Linked DNA regions of Alligator mississippiensis. The main gene of each other region encodes a partner of the protein of the gene in region 2 in a complex. Links are inferred from orthologs where the notes say so. Each region holds a gene or a part of one and is shown on either strand. Other genes may lie near its edges.

Region 1 (7,319 bases), on a different chromosome or scaffold from region 2:
GAAGTGAGAATGGGGCACAAGCCTTTTGTCTCTTGGGGATAATAATTCTGACCCAGTCTCAAGGTCCACCCTTGGGCAGCAGAAAGGGGGACACTAGAGCTGCAAGAAGTTAGGTGTGGGTTCACTGGTATGGGGAATGGGGAGAAAGACGGGGATGACTTGGGGACCCCATTTAGGCCTAGCTTGTGATTTCTGGCCTGGATACAGAGCAATGAGATGGCCTCAGAGCCCCATGAGGGCAGCACAGCAGACGCTGACCTGACATCAGGTACAGTGCTGGAGCTTGGCAGGAGATACACCAAGTAAGTGGATGGGTACACCTGGAAGCCCTTGGCCTTGGCAATGTCCCTGGAGGCTTCACACACGCTGTCCTGGAGCCCTGCAGGGTGGGAAGCAATGCACTGTGAGCAGCCGTGGGAGACCCTGAATAGTGCCCATGTATGTGGGGGGGGGGGGGTCGGACTGATGGAAGTGAGGGGGAGGGGGTGAACTAAGCCCAAAAGAGACCCAGAGCTCCTGTGCAGTGCCTGGGGTCTTCCCACACCTGGGCTCTTGCTCTGGGGTTCAGGGGGGATGGTCCCTGACTTACCATGTATGCGGAAGGTCTGGGCCCAGTTGATGGCCCCTGGGCTGCTCAGCAGTGCCCGGTAGGCACCCAGGTCCCGGTAGAAGGCTGAGTACATGTTAGCATAGAAATCAGAGTCATCCGTCACCACCTGCCAGGAGATACTTGCTGAGCGGGAAACTCCAGGGAGGAGAAGCAATCTTCTCACACCCCAAGTCAGCTATCTTTTGGGCCACACTGTTGCAAGCGCCTCCCATAAGGGAAAGGCCCTGGCTCCTGCCAGCCCCACACTCCTTCACGGAGGAGCTGGCACCTGCCAAGGGAGACAGTCCCTGTACCCCATAGCAGGGGAGTCTCACCTCCTTGCGTGGCCGGGTGAGGACAGCTTTGAAGTTGGGCCACGAATCCACCAACACCTCATGGCCAGCTGGATTCCCACGGCTGATGTTCATCACAGCACCAAGGACCTGGTTGAGACAGAGCAGAGTGTCAGAGCCAGGCAGGGGGAGCCACAGGCATCAGGGACTCAGACTCACATGAGGAAGGGAGACCAGGGTGATGCTGGCTCCGACATGGTTATCAGGAACCCCCTGATCTTTGGCCTGGGGGTGGGTTCAGCTCCTCATTACTTACTGCCTCTCTGGAGCCTTTGGTCCTTCTTCAGTCTCCCCTGGCATTTCCAGAGGGGCGGGCATTGCCACTAACCTCAGTCAGGATGGCTGCCACCTCCCTGTGCTTTCAATGGGGCTGAAGCCAGAGAAGGGGGAACCCCAGGCCTGGAAATGTGAGGGGGCAGGATGGAGAGAGGAGGCCTGGGAATGGTGCACAGGCTAAAGGAGTAGGTCTGGGAGGGGGAGAATGCCGAGGGGCAGAACAGGGCTGGGGCCAGTGTGTGCTCTGTGAGCTGGTCTGGAGGCTGTGTATGGGGGGCTGAGCAGAAGGTGAGGAGGTCCTATGCTTCAGGTACCAGTCTGAGTGGGTGCTGAGACCCAAGGCCAAGCACAGCCACAACACCCAATGGCACCTGTGGGCCCCTGAGTCATGGGACCACCCCTCATACCGCCTCCCCTCCCCAGCCCTCTGTCTCCTGAGCTACTTTTGCTGAATCTAGAGATTTGCTCCCTGTTCAGTGGCCACTTTGGATTGATGAGCGTAGAAGCTGCCCACACTGTGACTGGCTGGCATGGAGGTTACTGATGTTATGGTTGGCTGGCAAGAGCCAACCAGGCTGTGATTGGCTGTTGGACTGCTCACAGCTATGCCAGGTGAGCAGCAGGCATTTGTGCTAGGTTTGAACTTTGCACAAGCAACAATTGGGCAACCCCAGAAGAGCAGCTGGAGCTGGGGGGAGGGGGCTGGACCCCCAGTGACCCCATATCTGTGTGGTCGGGTGGGGGGGGGTAGCAGAAACCCCCATAGCCCAGAAGGAAGGCTCAGCCCTTCACCCAGCATCTGCACCATCACCCAGGGCAGACAAGACCATCCATCTCCTCTGCCCAGTCCCTGGATGAGTGTGGGGGGCTGTCACCCAATGTCTCAAGAGCAGTCTCATGTCACCGGCAGTGTCTCAGGCAGGCTCTGCCGCAGCACTCCCTCCAGCAGCTGCAGCTTGGAGGAACAGCTCAGGATCAGCATTGCTGGCCGGATTGAGCCCTGGCAACCTCCAGAGGGGATAATGCAGGCACCTGGGGAAGGGGAGATGCCATCAACTCCCTGAGAGCCATCTCAGTCCCCCCTCTTCCCCACAGAGAAGGCCACCCCACAGAGAGACCCTGCAATAACACACTTGTTTGTCAGCTGCTGTCCCCCAGCCAACTGGGGCTGCTTTGGGCAGGGCAGGGGGCTTTCCACTCACCTGCACGTTCACTGTCCCTGCGGCAGGGGTTGTCCTAGGAGCACAGTGGTGATGAGGTGTCTGTGGGGCAGGGTGGGCTCTGCCTGGCAGCAGCTGGTCCTGCCCTTTGGGTCTCTGCCGCAGGGGCTGCTGCAGCCTCTGATCCCAGCAAATGAACCATTAACAGAGTTGGTGCTTGGCTGGCCTGGACAGCAGGGCAGGACGGGACAAGAACGTTTCCTGGGGTTGGTGCAGCAGTAGTGAGTGGGACCTGGGAGGCTGGGAAGCAGGGTACATCTGTACCATCCCCCCCAGCAGCAGATCTGCCTGTGGGGAGCACGGCAGGAGTGCTGGCTAGGGATGGCTCCAGGATACTCTTGCTCAGAGGTTCTCAAGCTGTGGTCTGTGGACCACCACTGGTCTGCAAGCTCCATTTAGGTGGTCCGCAGAAAGGTTGCGGAACAGTCAAGAATATGGTGCAGCAGCTCTGCAAAGCGGTGACTGGTGTCAATGGGCTAACCAGAGAAGTGGCGCCATACGGGCACCCCGCCAAACACCAGGGGAACCTGTCACCCCAGTTTGACATTTACGTCCTGCCTCAGGAGTGCCCCGTGGAAGACCAGGAACCTCCTGTTATACAGGCACACAGATGCAGAGGTAGTAGGCTGTGTAAAAGTGGTGCTGAGTGAACTCCAGACCTACTACCAGAAATTGGTTGTGGAGAATGAGACAGAGACATGTGGCACAGGACCTTCCAACTCCCCCTGAGCAGGAAAGGGAGCAGCAACGGTGAGGAAAAGGAAGAGACAAGTGGAACTGAGTACAGCGACAGCAGCAGCAAATTCTTCAGCAGGAGCTGGAGCGATAGTGACATGGATGACAGGTGAACTGAGTATGTGACCTTGCAAGCAGGGGGGAAATGAAAGGACGGGGTTGCCTGGTTTGAGACCAGAATTAGTCTGGTTGTATGTGTTGTGCGCGGAGCGGATATTGTAACAGGTTCAGGTGGCCAGCGGGTCTTTGTATGGGTGTGCGGGTCGCAGTGGTGCAGTTTTTGTAACAGGTTTAAGGTTTTTCTTTGTAGAGTGATATTCAGAGTGTAGATATATATAACCTCATATACATATATATGTATATACATACATACATATACATACATATAATATATATATATATATAGACATATTTTTCCAAAAAAAAAAAAATCTGTACTTGTAAGAGGGTGGTAACAGCAAGGAAGAGGAAGAGACAAGTGGAGCTGAGGACAGCAACAGCAGCAGCAGGTCCTCCAGCAGGAGCTGGAGCGACAGAGACATGGACAACAGGTGAACTGAGTACGTGACCCCAGAAGCGGAGTGGGGCTGAAAGGAAAGGGTTGCCTGGTCTGAGGGACCAAGAGTTGCTTGTGTGCGTGGCGCGCAATGTGGATATTGTAACGGGTTCGGGTGGCTAGTGCGCCTTTGTACGGGTTCTGATTTTATTAGGGCATAGTGGTGGGTAACCCAATTTTTCTTGCCACCCCCCAAGAGTCAAAGTGTAAGTCGAGCCCTGCCGGACCCCACTACAGCCTGGCCCCGGTGCTCGCCCTCCACCTCCTCCAGGGCTACTCAGGGCAGGTGACCCCGGCCACGCTCCAGTCCGCCCTCCCCCCTCGGCCCGCCTCGCCCTGTGTCTGCTTGTGCCCAAGGCGCTGGTCAGGAGACGGGGCGTCCCGGGCCCAGCCGCGTGCCTGGCTCCGCACCCCCAGGCTGCCACCCCCGTCCTCCTCCTCTTCGCTGTGCCCCGGGCCGGGCCCGTGCTGCCGGCTCAGGCCCATCAGCACCCCGCACGCATTACCCAGGCCCATCACCACACCCACGTTCCGCCCTGTCTGTGACGCCACAAGGAGGTGGGAACCCCGTGGGCCCCAGCAACGCCCCGCTCCGCGCGCATGCGCGCCTGACCCCCCAGGGTCTCCGGGGAGAGGTGTTCGCGACGCCCCCTTGGCGCCTTCCCGCGCAGTGACGTCACTGTGGCGGGGCAGCGCGCGGAGGGGCCCGGACCAGGTGAGGGGCGCGGGGGCTCGGACGCCGGGGTCCAATCCGCGGCCTGGGGCAGGGGCGGGGGGTGGGGCCGCGGGGCGGACGCCTGGGGTCTCCCCGGCCTGGGGGCGCCGCGCCCTAAGCCCGGCCTGCCCGCTCGCTCGCCCCCAGCCATGCGCAGCAAGCGGCTCATCCCCGATGCCTTCCCGGCCGTGAAGAGGCCGCGGCGGGACTGCGCAGCCAAGGCCCCGGGGGCAGGGCCCGCCGAGGAGCCCCGCGCCGCCCCGGCCCCGGCCCCACTCGACCTGCTCAAGCGCTTCGACCTCAGCCCCGAGTACGGGCCCTGCACCGGTGAGACCCTCCCCCCACCTCCGGAGGGGCGCGGGCGGGCCGGGCTGTGCCCCGAGGGGCTCCAGGACCCTGAGCCCACCCCTGACCCCCGTGCCCACAGGGATCACGCGCCTGCAGCGCTGGGAGCGGGCGGCGGCGCTGGGCCTGAGCCCCCCGGACGCGGTGCGAGAGGCGCTGCTGCAGCACGGCGAGGACCCCCGCGTCACCTACAGGTGGGTCAGGCGGCTCCCGGGAGCTTCCCGAGCCAGGGAACTGGGGACTGGGTCCCTGCCCACGGCGGGAGGGGGCTGGCGGGGCCTGGCCTGTGCTTGGGGCTCGCTAGTTGGGTGGTGGCATCACTTGGGTGGCACAGGCAGGGCTGGGCACAGCCAGCTGTTTGAGCTGCCCCCTGGAGCAGCCTGGCCCCTTGTCAGGAGATGCAGGATCGAGCCCCCTCTGGTAGACGGGGCAGCCTGGCTAAAGTGCTGGAGGTGAGAGGGCAGAGCCGGTGGGGCTGGGAGCCCAGCTCACCCTCCTTGCAGAAAGCCCCCTGGCGAAGCAGGCCGCATCACGGTGTCCAGCCCTGAACAGACCGTTTCTGCCTGCCACAGGCCCCGCTGACACTGGCCACCTGTGCTGCAGCCACAGCAATGCTCCAGGGGTAGAGTCCTGGCAGAGCTATGCCGGTGGGGAGCCCGGGGCTGGGCCAGATGTGGATGTGCCTTGGGGGCCAGCAATGCTTCTCTGACCCATGCCCAGAAGACTTCACCCCTGAGACAGCAGATCTGCCCCCAGAGCTGGCTGGGGTAGGAGAGGGGTGGGTGAGTCACCTCTTGGGTGATGGAGGGAGACCAGCCCCGGTCCTGACCCCCTTCCCTACTTGCAATCAGCAGCCGGACTTGGGCTATTTCAGCCTGCGCCTGCTTAAGTCAGGGAAGGGTTGAGTGGTTGGGGTAGGACCATGAGGCTGCTGGATAGGCAGTGGAGATGCCCTCTCCTGCCCTAGAATCAGGCTGTTGAATCAGTTTCAGCTCTGAGCCCAGCCCTGTCCCTGCATCCCGAGGGGGTGCTGCCTGGGACCTGCTGACCTACCAGGTAGCAGTGACTTGGAGGGGGAGTGTGCCCTGTTCCCTGCCATACAGCACTCCTAGCGGCCTAGGAAAGCATTGCAGCCAGCCAGCACTGCCTGCCAGGGGACGGGGCCTCTCTGCCTCCACCCTGGGGCCAGGCCCTGCTCTGTTGAGTGGGTGAGGGGAGAGTGGGGGGGGGTGTCACAGGGAAGCAGGACTTACAAAGTAGGGAGAAATGTGCGCCCTCCCCACCCCCCTCCAACGACAGCTCGCTGGCCCTGAAAGCTGATAGCCGTGTGACCCATCTGCCTCCAGCCACATCATTCCTTCAAGTTGACCGTAAAATCGTGTCTCCTGAAGACCCGCCACAGCGGCGCTGCGGGGAGCCAGGCACATTCCAGCCTTGGCCTGGGCCAGGCCCAGGGGTGTACCAGGGCATGGAGCTGGGTCTCCCTAGGAGTAACCTCTCTCTGCTTCCCCTACAGTCTCTGGCACGAGTACCCGCTCTGAGGGGGAAGTGCGAGGGGCCTGAACAGCTCATGATATGAAGTGGAAGGGGGACCCTGCGCTGGTGCCCAGCCCCCACAGCGAGTGCTTTGGATCCTGAGTGGAAAGCGGCTTCGCTCCAGCATTAGGCAGAGGATTCTCATTCCCAGTGCTTTGGGGGAGGAGCGGGAGGGGGCTTTGCCAAGGGCATGGTGTGTCCAGGGACACTGCAGGGGTGCCTAGTGCAGCCTTGCTTTCAGCAGTCCAGCACCCTGCTGTGTTTGGTGCTGTCCACTTTCCCAACAGCCCTTGGCGTGTGTGTTTTGGATTAAATGCTTGTGTGAGAGCCACTGGCCTCCTGCCTTCTAGCTGTGTGGTACAGGGAATGGGTCTCTTGGGACTGTGCCAGCTGCACAGTTAGAGCTAGCCAAGTGCAAGTGCTGATATGGTCTGGGTGGAGGGCGGGCCGTGGAGGTGAGGGCTCACCTCCCCTGGACCCCTGAAACCTGGAGGTTATCATGTTGGTAAGCACATTGTGCTGCCCAGCTGCTGGCTGGGGCCCAGAAACAGCCTGGTGGGGGCAGGGGAAGTGGGCTGTTGTGGCAGCCCCTGCCACAGTGGGACACAGGTGCCCCCTGGTGCCCTGTGTGGCCACTGCAGGAAGGCTGGAACCATGGCCGGGCAAGTGGGGCCCAAGGTCTAGACTACAGCAGTGGTTCTCAACTTTTTTTGCACCAGGACCCATTTGTAAACATCATTGGTCAGTCCCGACTCCTTGCCCCTCGCTCCTGACCTGCTGCCCTCAGCCCCCCAGTGTGTGGTGGGGGCGTGGGACATGGGGGGAGGGCCCAAGCAGCCCCTTGGAACTCTACCAGCCTGCAAGGGAAAAGCCAGTTTCCCATGGTTTTTCTCCTTTAAAGGAGATTCCGTTTTTAAAGTATGATCCTGTTCACGACCCTTTCATGCTTGTGACCTACAGATTGAGAAATACTGGTCTAAAAGAACCAAGTTCC
Region 2 (7,884 bases):
GTGACACCAAACATACGGAGCACGGGCACTGGGCCCTGTGTGGCACCTGGCATCCCAGGAAATGGAGAGCCTGCAGGGAGAAAGTCAGGCAGAGATCAATGCCCCCTTCCTTCCAAAGGAGGGGGTGGGGCATGGAGAGGCAGCCAGGTATCCTTCCCCCACCTTACATGAGGCACCCTGCCCCCACACCCCAGCTGACTGGGAAGTTTCCCTGGGGAACTCCAACCTGTGTGTCCAGCCCTCCCCTGGGATAGGGACACACTGGGCCATTGTGCTTTGTAAAAGCCCCTGCTCACCCCAGGTCACGAATAAGGCCAGGGGGGGTTCCCTGTGTGGGGGGAGGAGGGCAGGGGTTACAGATTAATCAGACAAAGCCCCCAAGATGGGGGAATGGAAACAGCTGGAGGGATAATCCCAGACCCCAGCCCTTCCCCAGAACACAGTAACCTTCAAGGGTTTGGGGGAACAGGGAAGATTAGGCCACGCTCTTTTGGAGTTGGGATGGGACTGCCAGGCTAGCAGGAGAACCCAGGTGTCCTGGCTCCTCACCCTTACCACCTAACCACTCTCCACCCAGAGCCGAGATCAAAACCCAGAGTCCTGGCTCCCCACCCGCCTGCTCTGACCATTTAGCCCTACTCCCCTCCCAAAGGCCCCCAACTCAGTCTATGGAGTTGCGCTGGGCATGCTCACCCACATAATAATCCAGCTCCACCTGCTGGAAGCAGAGTGCATCAGCTGCAGGGTCGATCCCAGGGGGTGCTGGGCGCTGCCACTTGGGGTTCAGCACCGAGGAGAACAGACTCCCTTGAAGGGGGAGATTAAAGTTCAATGTCAGAGCCCCAATCCCTCCTCCTCCTCCCTCCTGGTGCTGCACCCCTCAACCCCTGCCCCATAAGCCAACAATCCACCACTCCACAGCCCCTTAACCAGGGCCCTGGCATCAGCCCCTGTGGGAGGCCAGAGGGGGTCGCCTCACCGATGGCCATGACATCAAGCAACTGAGATGACGACTCCATCTCCAGAGTCATCTCGCTCTCCACCTCATCCAGGTAGGCCAGTGCCTCCTCAAACTGTGAGGGGTTCTCATCCTCCCAGTCACCCCCCCGTGGCCGCTTCCACTGTGAGGGGTCCTCTGGGCCAGGCCCCGCTGGGGATACCTTCCGCTTGGCCTCCATGGTGGATCTGAGGGCAAAAGCAGAAGACCAAATTGGGCTCAGAGTGCCTGGAAGAGACTGAATCATGAGCAGAGAAAACACTTCTGTTGCACACTGACTGCGGTGTTTCAAAGAGAGGGGATTCTTTGTATGTTCCTTGTAAATAAACAGGGCTGCATCCAAAAAACACCTGGGTCCATCCTCAACTTTTTCTTCTAATGCCAATCATCCGGGGGGGGGGGGGGGGGGGGACAACCTGAAGGATGGATGACACAAATGACACAGGAAAGCCTCAAACTGTGGCACACAACAGATCAAGATGGGAGCAAGGAATACAGCAGCAGGTTGAGTAGGGAGAAGTAGGGCAACAGATCAGACAGTGGGTGCAGGGCAGAGAGCAGAAAGCAGAGTAAAAGATCAGGCAGTGAACACAAGGAAGGAAGCAGAAAACAGAGCCACAAAGTAGACAGGGAGAAGGCACAGCAGCATACCAGATGGGGACCATGGGCCAGGGAGCAGAAGGCAAAGCATCAGATCAGAGTGAGAGAACAGGGCAGGGAGCAGGAAGCAGAGTAGCAGATTGGACAGGGGAGGGTGCAGGGCTAATTTGAAGCACGTCTGCCCAAAAGGTTGGTGCCTACTGCCCTACGTGACTCCAACACATGCTAATTCCTCATGCCAGGAACAGATAACCCTTGCAGGGCCCTTTTTATTTCTGTCTCTACAGCTTCCCTACAGACCCGCTGCCTGGCACAGCAAGCCAAAATGTGCTTGGTGCTAGAGCTAGCACAAGCCCATGCATAAGACATCATCAGAACGGATCACAGGAAAAGATGCTGCAAGGTATGCAAAGAAAAAAGGAGTCTGTGAGGTTCTTAAAGCACGTTTCCTCTGGAAGGGCTGATGCAATGAGGTCTGGTGTGGGGGCCAACTTTCTGGGCAGGCGTGCCACAAATTAGCCCTGCACCCTGCCCGAGTGCCAGGCCATGCCCCTTCCCATGCCCAGTCTCCTGTTTGCTCCCTACCCTGCCTGCTGCTGTGTTCCCTGCCCCCTCCCCAATCTGCCATGTGCCACACACACAGATTACCCATGCCACTTGTTGGCCAACCCTGGTATAAACCAATTCCACTGCATTTGTGCATCCACTGTGTGCTTTCCAAACACCTAGGGAGAGACCAGCCACACGGCCTCCTCTATGAAGCCCAGCACACATCACAGGAACTATGATCCCTTTGGCACCTGAGGTCCAGTCCCCCCACCTCCAGGGCAGCCTGGGCCCTACAGCCCACAGGCAGGCTCCCACCTTCCAGGTAGGAAGCTCCCACTCTGTGACAGGCACACACATGCCTCCCAGCAACCATGGGGTACAACTGCCCCCACAGTCACCTACCCACTTTGCCCCATAAGAACACCCTGGGCCCCATCCCCAGCTCTGCCTGCCCCCCACCAGAACCCCCCGAGTCCCCCACCTCAAGGACCCCCCCCCCAATAGGGACTCCCCACCCCCAGCCAGTGCCTGTCCCCCAGGAACCCCCAGGGAGTCTCCTCCCAAGGAGTTTCCCCATAGCTTCCCCATACCAAGGACCCCAGCCCCAGCTACAGCCTTCCCCCCAGGAACCCCCCAGAAAGTCTCCCCCAAGGGAGCCCCTCCAAAGAGTGTTCCCACCCCAGCTACCCCTCCCCAGCTACAGCCCCCACCCAGGGACCCTCGCATAGGGTTCCCCACCCCAGGGATCCCATCCCAAGCTATTGCCCCCCTACCAGGGACCACCCCCCCACCAGGGATCTCCCACAAGAACCCCGTCCCCTGCTAGCACCCCCTCAACAAGGACCCTCCATAGCATCCCCCACCCCAGGGACCCCACACCCAACTACTGCCCGCCCAACAGGGGCCCCCCATAGGGCGCCCCACCCCCAGCAGATGCCTCCCCCCCGGGAGCCCTCTCACTCCAACTACCCCCCAGCCCCACTTACCCCCCAGCTCCAGCTCCGACTCTCCCGCCAATCCAAAAGGAGGCGGAGCCCAGCGTGGTCCCACCCCTCGGTTCCCATACCAACCCCCCTCCCATTGGACGCCGCACACACGTGTTCCCACCGCGACTTCCGATCGCCATCTTGAGCGTGGCGGAAGGCCTAGGGCGGGGTACTTGAGCACAGTGATACGGAGAGTGTGGCGTGAAGGCTGCAGTCGCCCCGGCACAAACGCATGCGCAGTAAGGTGACACACTACCTGGGATCTGGCTTCTGAGTCCATGATACTGCGCATATGCCACGTTGAGCCACGAACGTCACCTTATGGAGAGCGGCACATGCGCAGTGGGGATCCCAGAAGCCTGGCCCTTCAGTGGGGCAGCCAGGATCGCAGAGTGCATGCGCAATTGGATGCGCTCCTGCGACGCCATGTTGAGTGTGGCAAAGTGAAGAGAGGAGCAGGAGACTCCCAATGGGGGGGTAGTCAGCTCCCAGAATGCCTTGCCCTTGACTTACGCACCGCTGCACTGTACCCCTGCCTGTAGGGGGGGGTCACCCACTGCACTCTCCATGATTTTACCCCCGCAAACTTCCCCCAGCAGACAAGAGAATCCAGGCGTCCTGCCTGCCAATGCTCCCCAAGCCCCACCTCTAATCCACCAGATCCCACGCCCTTGTGCCACGCTCAGGAGACAACTCAGGTGTCCTGGCCCCCCATCCCCACCCTCCCTTGCCGGAGCTGGGCTAGAACCTAGGCGTCCTGGCTCCCATCCCCCACTCCGATGCTGATGCCGGGCTAGAAGACCCCATGAAGTCTCAAGGAGGCTGGAAAGCCCCGGGTCCCGTGGGGTGTGGAAAGGGGCCAGTCACAGGCCCAGCCTGGCTTCCTGCCCTGCTTGGGGGTGGTAGTAATATGTTCCTGCCACTCCCAGACCTTCCTGGGATTTCCTGCCCCAAGGCTGGGAATCCCCTCCTGAAGAGCTGGCGATGGGGGGCGTGATACAGCTGCCCTAGCTCTCCCCGCGCCGACCTCCCTGCCCCGCTCCCTACAGTGTCCCCTGCTGGCCTGCAGGCTGCGTGGGAGTTTCTGCATCTACTGCCTGCCCAGGTAGGTGAGAGGGTGGGGGGAGCGGAGTGCTCACGGCTGATGCATGGCCCTGGGGGACCCCCTAGCGGCCAGCATGACCAGCTGGAATTCCCCTGATTTCCCAGAACCTGGTGGGTTTTCCCACAAGCCCTTGGCAAGAGCCATATCTGGGGTAGTGGGGCCTGGGATTCTGTTCTGGCCATATCTATTCTGATTCTCCACCATGAGTCCCCTCCCAGAGCTGGAGAGAACCCAGACACATCCTGGTTCCCAGCCCACATGCCCCCCTGCCAGGGCTGGACTGCAAGCCAAGTGTCCTGTTTCCCAGGACCACCCTTTCTCCAACCCACCCAACCTCCCTCTCTTCCCAGAGCTGGGATAGAACCCAGGAGTCCTGGGCCACCCTCCTCTAACCCCACCAGACCCCAGCTGCCCCCACCAGAGCTGGAATAGAACCCAGGTGTCCTGACCTGTCTGCCCCACCCCAGCACAGATGCAAGGAGGCACCAGGAAGCTGTAATTTGTTTTATTTCCCACTGTGTGTGTGTGTGACCCCCGCCCTGCCCGCCCCCCCCCCCCCCCGACTCCAGCGGGGGAAGCATTCTCGTTCCATACACATCTCCATGACAGTAGGAATGGGGGGGGCAGCACTGTCTTTGTTTCCCCCCCCCCCCAAGTTCTTCCAGTGGCAGCAGAGGACTGGGGCCTGCCCCTCTGCCCTCCTTCTGCTATCCAGGGGTCACCTCCACCCCACACCCCCTTTCATAGGAGAGGGACTCCCCATTGGTGGGGAGAGGACAACAAGTCTTTGAGGCTCATAAGCTGGGGGGCAGAGATGTTCCCCAGCCCTGGGAGACTCCCACTGTCCTGAGGCTGCCTCCAACTGGGCCAGGCAGGGGGGTGGGGGTCCTGATCCATCATCCAGCCAGGCACAGCATCACATGGTTAGTCCAGGGTGCAGGGGGGCTTGCCCCTTGCTGGGTTCTGGCATTGGTCCATCAGTGTGGAGGGAGGGGGATCTGGCCATGGGTGGGGGGAACCCCTCAGTCCTGCCTCCCCATGCCTTGCACGCCTACTCATGGACATCCCAGATCTCAGAGAGCAGCGGTGGCAGCTTCTTGTCCTGCAGGCGGAGGGCAAAGACCTGCTCTGAGTGTACACTGCTCAACGTACGCAAGGCCACCAGCTTCAGCAGCATGCGGGGAAACATCAGCCGGTCCTGGGGGAGAGGGGGGGGAGACAGGGGGTGTCAGAGCCAACCCCCCAAAAGCTGCCCCTACACTCCTACCCCCATGCCTGGATCTATCCACTATCCCTTGTATCCTAGTGATGCTTCTGCCTTCTGTGCCCCCCAGCATGTGGAGTACATGAGTTAAAGCCTTGGGGCAGTACCAGCCCTGCCACCAACATGGCTTCTTACCCCCCATCTGTAGAGGAGCATCATCCAGTCCAGGGCAGGCTAAGAGGAGGGTCTAGGCCAAGAGTCACCAGCTCCTGTCTGCCCCTGGCTGTCAGGATGCAATGGGGGCCCCACCTTACCTGGGGCCGCTGGATGCGGGTGTAGGCACGCAGGGCCTCAACGTAGGGCAGCTGCAGTGCCTCCACCTGGGCACGGTGCTGCACACCAGGCCGGTCACCCGAGAACAGGTCGATGGCGATGAGCAAGGCATACTCGGCATCATCCAGCTGCAGCCCTCGCATGCCCCGCGAGAACTCAAAGATGGGGTTGATGAACTCCACCTGCAGACCTGTGAGGCGCCAGGCCTCAGCGGGACCTGGGGGGCCCATGCCCCACCAGGACCCCCAGACCCCACTGAGAATGTCCGCTGCAGTCCTGGGATGTCCCCACACACCAGAACCCCTGAATCCACTGAGACCCCACATGCATTACTAGGGAACCCCCCAAACCCCACTGAGATGCCCAAATCCTTTACCAGGAATCTTCCAACCCCATTGGTGAGAAACTCTCCAATTCACCAGGACCCCCGAGACTTCATACCCCACCAGAAATCCCCATGCCTTGCTGAGACCTCCCCCCTACCCCCAAATCCCACTAGTCCAATCCTTCACCCCACTGAAAACCCCCATATCCCACCAAGACCCCCCTGAAACTCACATCTCATTGGAAATCCCCTTGCCTTGCTGGGACCCCCCATATCCCACCAGACATCCCTGAAATCCCAACCCCCTAGGAGCCATCCCCATGGCCCATCCAAGTTGGGATTGATAGCTTCCTCCTTCACCCTGCAGGACATGGATTGAAGACCCAACAGCCCTTCAAGAGCTCCCCCCAGAGGCCTCCTCTGAGCCCCTAGCACCCCAGCCCCTATTACCCCCCTATTCATACCCCCAGAGCTACCCTGATCCCCACCCCCTGCCTGCTGCACTCCCCTGTACCACCCGCTAGCTCCTCCATGGACCCTGTGCCAGCACCCCTGCCACTGCATACCCGCGCGGTGGAAGTCGTCCTTGCTGTACGTGAAGTCTTTCAGGAAGGTGATGCTTTCTGTCTCATGGTTGTAGCGCCGTGCTGTCTCCAGCAACATGATCTGGGGGGGAGCAGGGTGGGCATGAGACCCCCTCCACCATGGGGCCACAGCACCTGCCATTTACTGCATGGCCACGGACCACCCTCGCCCTGGCAGGCACCAACATGCATGGCCTGGGCAGGCAAGCTGTGAAGAGCCCACTCAACATGGCCCTGTGCCCTTGCCCTCAACACAGCCTCCACTCTGTCTGTCCCTCCCTCCCCCCCAGCGATGCACCTCATAGAACTGTAAAATCAGAGAAGTCAGGACATAAGGGACCTCCAGGGGTCATCTAGCTCAACCCCCTGCCTGAAGCAGGATTGGTCCTATCCAGACCATCCTCTACAAATCCACCCTCTAAACTCTTAACAAAGCTACCGTCAACCCTGACACAAATCATAACACCCAAACCTGGCACCGGTAAAGCAGGGGGACCGCAGCAGCCAACATCCTGCTTCTCTAAAAGGTTGTTAATATACGCTCAAGAGATCCCAGGTAGAAGCCATGTCCCCACTACAGAAGAAGTCAAAACACCCCACATCATTATCAATCTGACCAGGGTAAAATTCCTTCCTGACCTCAGATATAGTGATTGGTCTAATCCTGAGCACAGGGGCAAGACCCTCTAGGCAGAAACCTCCAGCTTTGATCCCAGCAGAAGCACTGACACAGCCCAGTCTCAATCCCCAGCCTTGGCTGCAACCAACACCCAATGACTCTTAAGAGAGACTTGAAAAAACCCTGACACCTGTAGCAGAAAGGGAGAAAGGGGCGACCAGCAAAACACAGAAGCCTGGGAAAACCCCATGGTAGAACTCAGGCATAGCTACACCTAGGTCATCCCTGACCAATGCCCGTCCAACCTTTTCTTGAACCCCTCCAGTGATGCAGAGTGCACAGTTCCCCTAAGCAGTCTAGTCTGCTGCCTCACAGCTCTCATAGTGAAGTTTTTCCCCGTATCCAACTTAAACCTACTTTACTGCAACTTCAAGCCATTGGTCCTCTTCCTTCTCTCTGCAATAAGAGAAAGGTGTTCTCTCTCTTATTTATGGAAGCCTTTCAAATATGTGAAACCTGCTATCATGCCCCCTCTTAAGCACCTTTTCCTCAAACTGAACATGCCTAGCTCCTTCAGCCTCT

What was found.
Region 1: POLD1 (region 2) and POLD4 share a complex: the UniProt entries of both Homo sapiens proteins name them as parts of the tetrameric DNA polymerase delta complex. The link is inferred for Alligator mississippiensis from reciprocal best matches to the Homo sapiens genes POLD1 and POLD4.

What each region holds. Positions count from the first base shown.
Region 1 is NC_081825.1:176,138,962-176,146,280, reverse strand, and holds POLD4 (DNA polymerase delta subunit 4), read left to right. Parts: upstream 1-4,347; 5' UTR 4,348-4,444; intron 4,445-4,591; 5' UTR 4,592-4,593; coding exon 4,594-4,771; intron 4,772-4,871; coding exon 4,872-4,983; intron 4,984-6,305; coding exon 6,306-6,330; 3' UTR 6,331-6,656; downstream 6,657-7,319. Other genes in the region: glycine N-acyltransferase-like protein 3, read right to left, coding at 259-379, 590-716, 925-1,032, 2,123-2,200. UniProt on the Homo sapiens protein: As a component of the tetrameric DNA polymerase delta complex (Pol-delta4), plays a role in high fidelity genome replication and repair.
Region 2 is NC_081828.1:40,190,706-40,198,589, reverse strand, and holds the start of POLD1 (DNA polymerase delta catalytic subunit), read right to left. Parts: upstream 3,219-7,884; 5' UTR 3,211-3,218; coding exon of another isoform or gene 3,133-3,210; intron 1,186-3,132; coding exon of another isoform or gene 1,179-1,185; coding exon 980-1,178; intron 808-979; coding exon 694-807; intron 71-693; coding exon 1-70. Other genes in the region: NR1H2 (oxysterols receptor LXR-beta), read right to left, coding at 5,289-5,435, 5,756-5,964, 6,666-6,765. UniProt on the Homo sapiens protein: As the catalytic component of the trimeric (Pol-delta3 complex) and tetrameric DNA polymerase delta complexes (Pol-delta4 complex), plays a crucial role in high fidelity genome replication, including in lagging strand synthesis, and repair.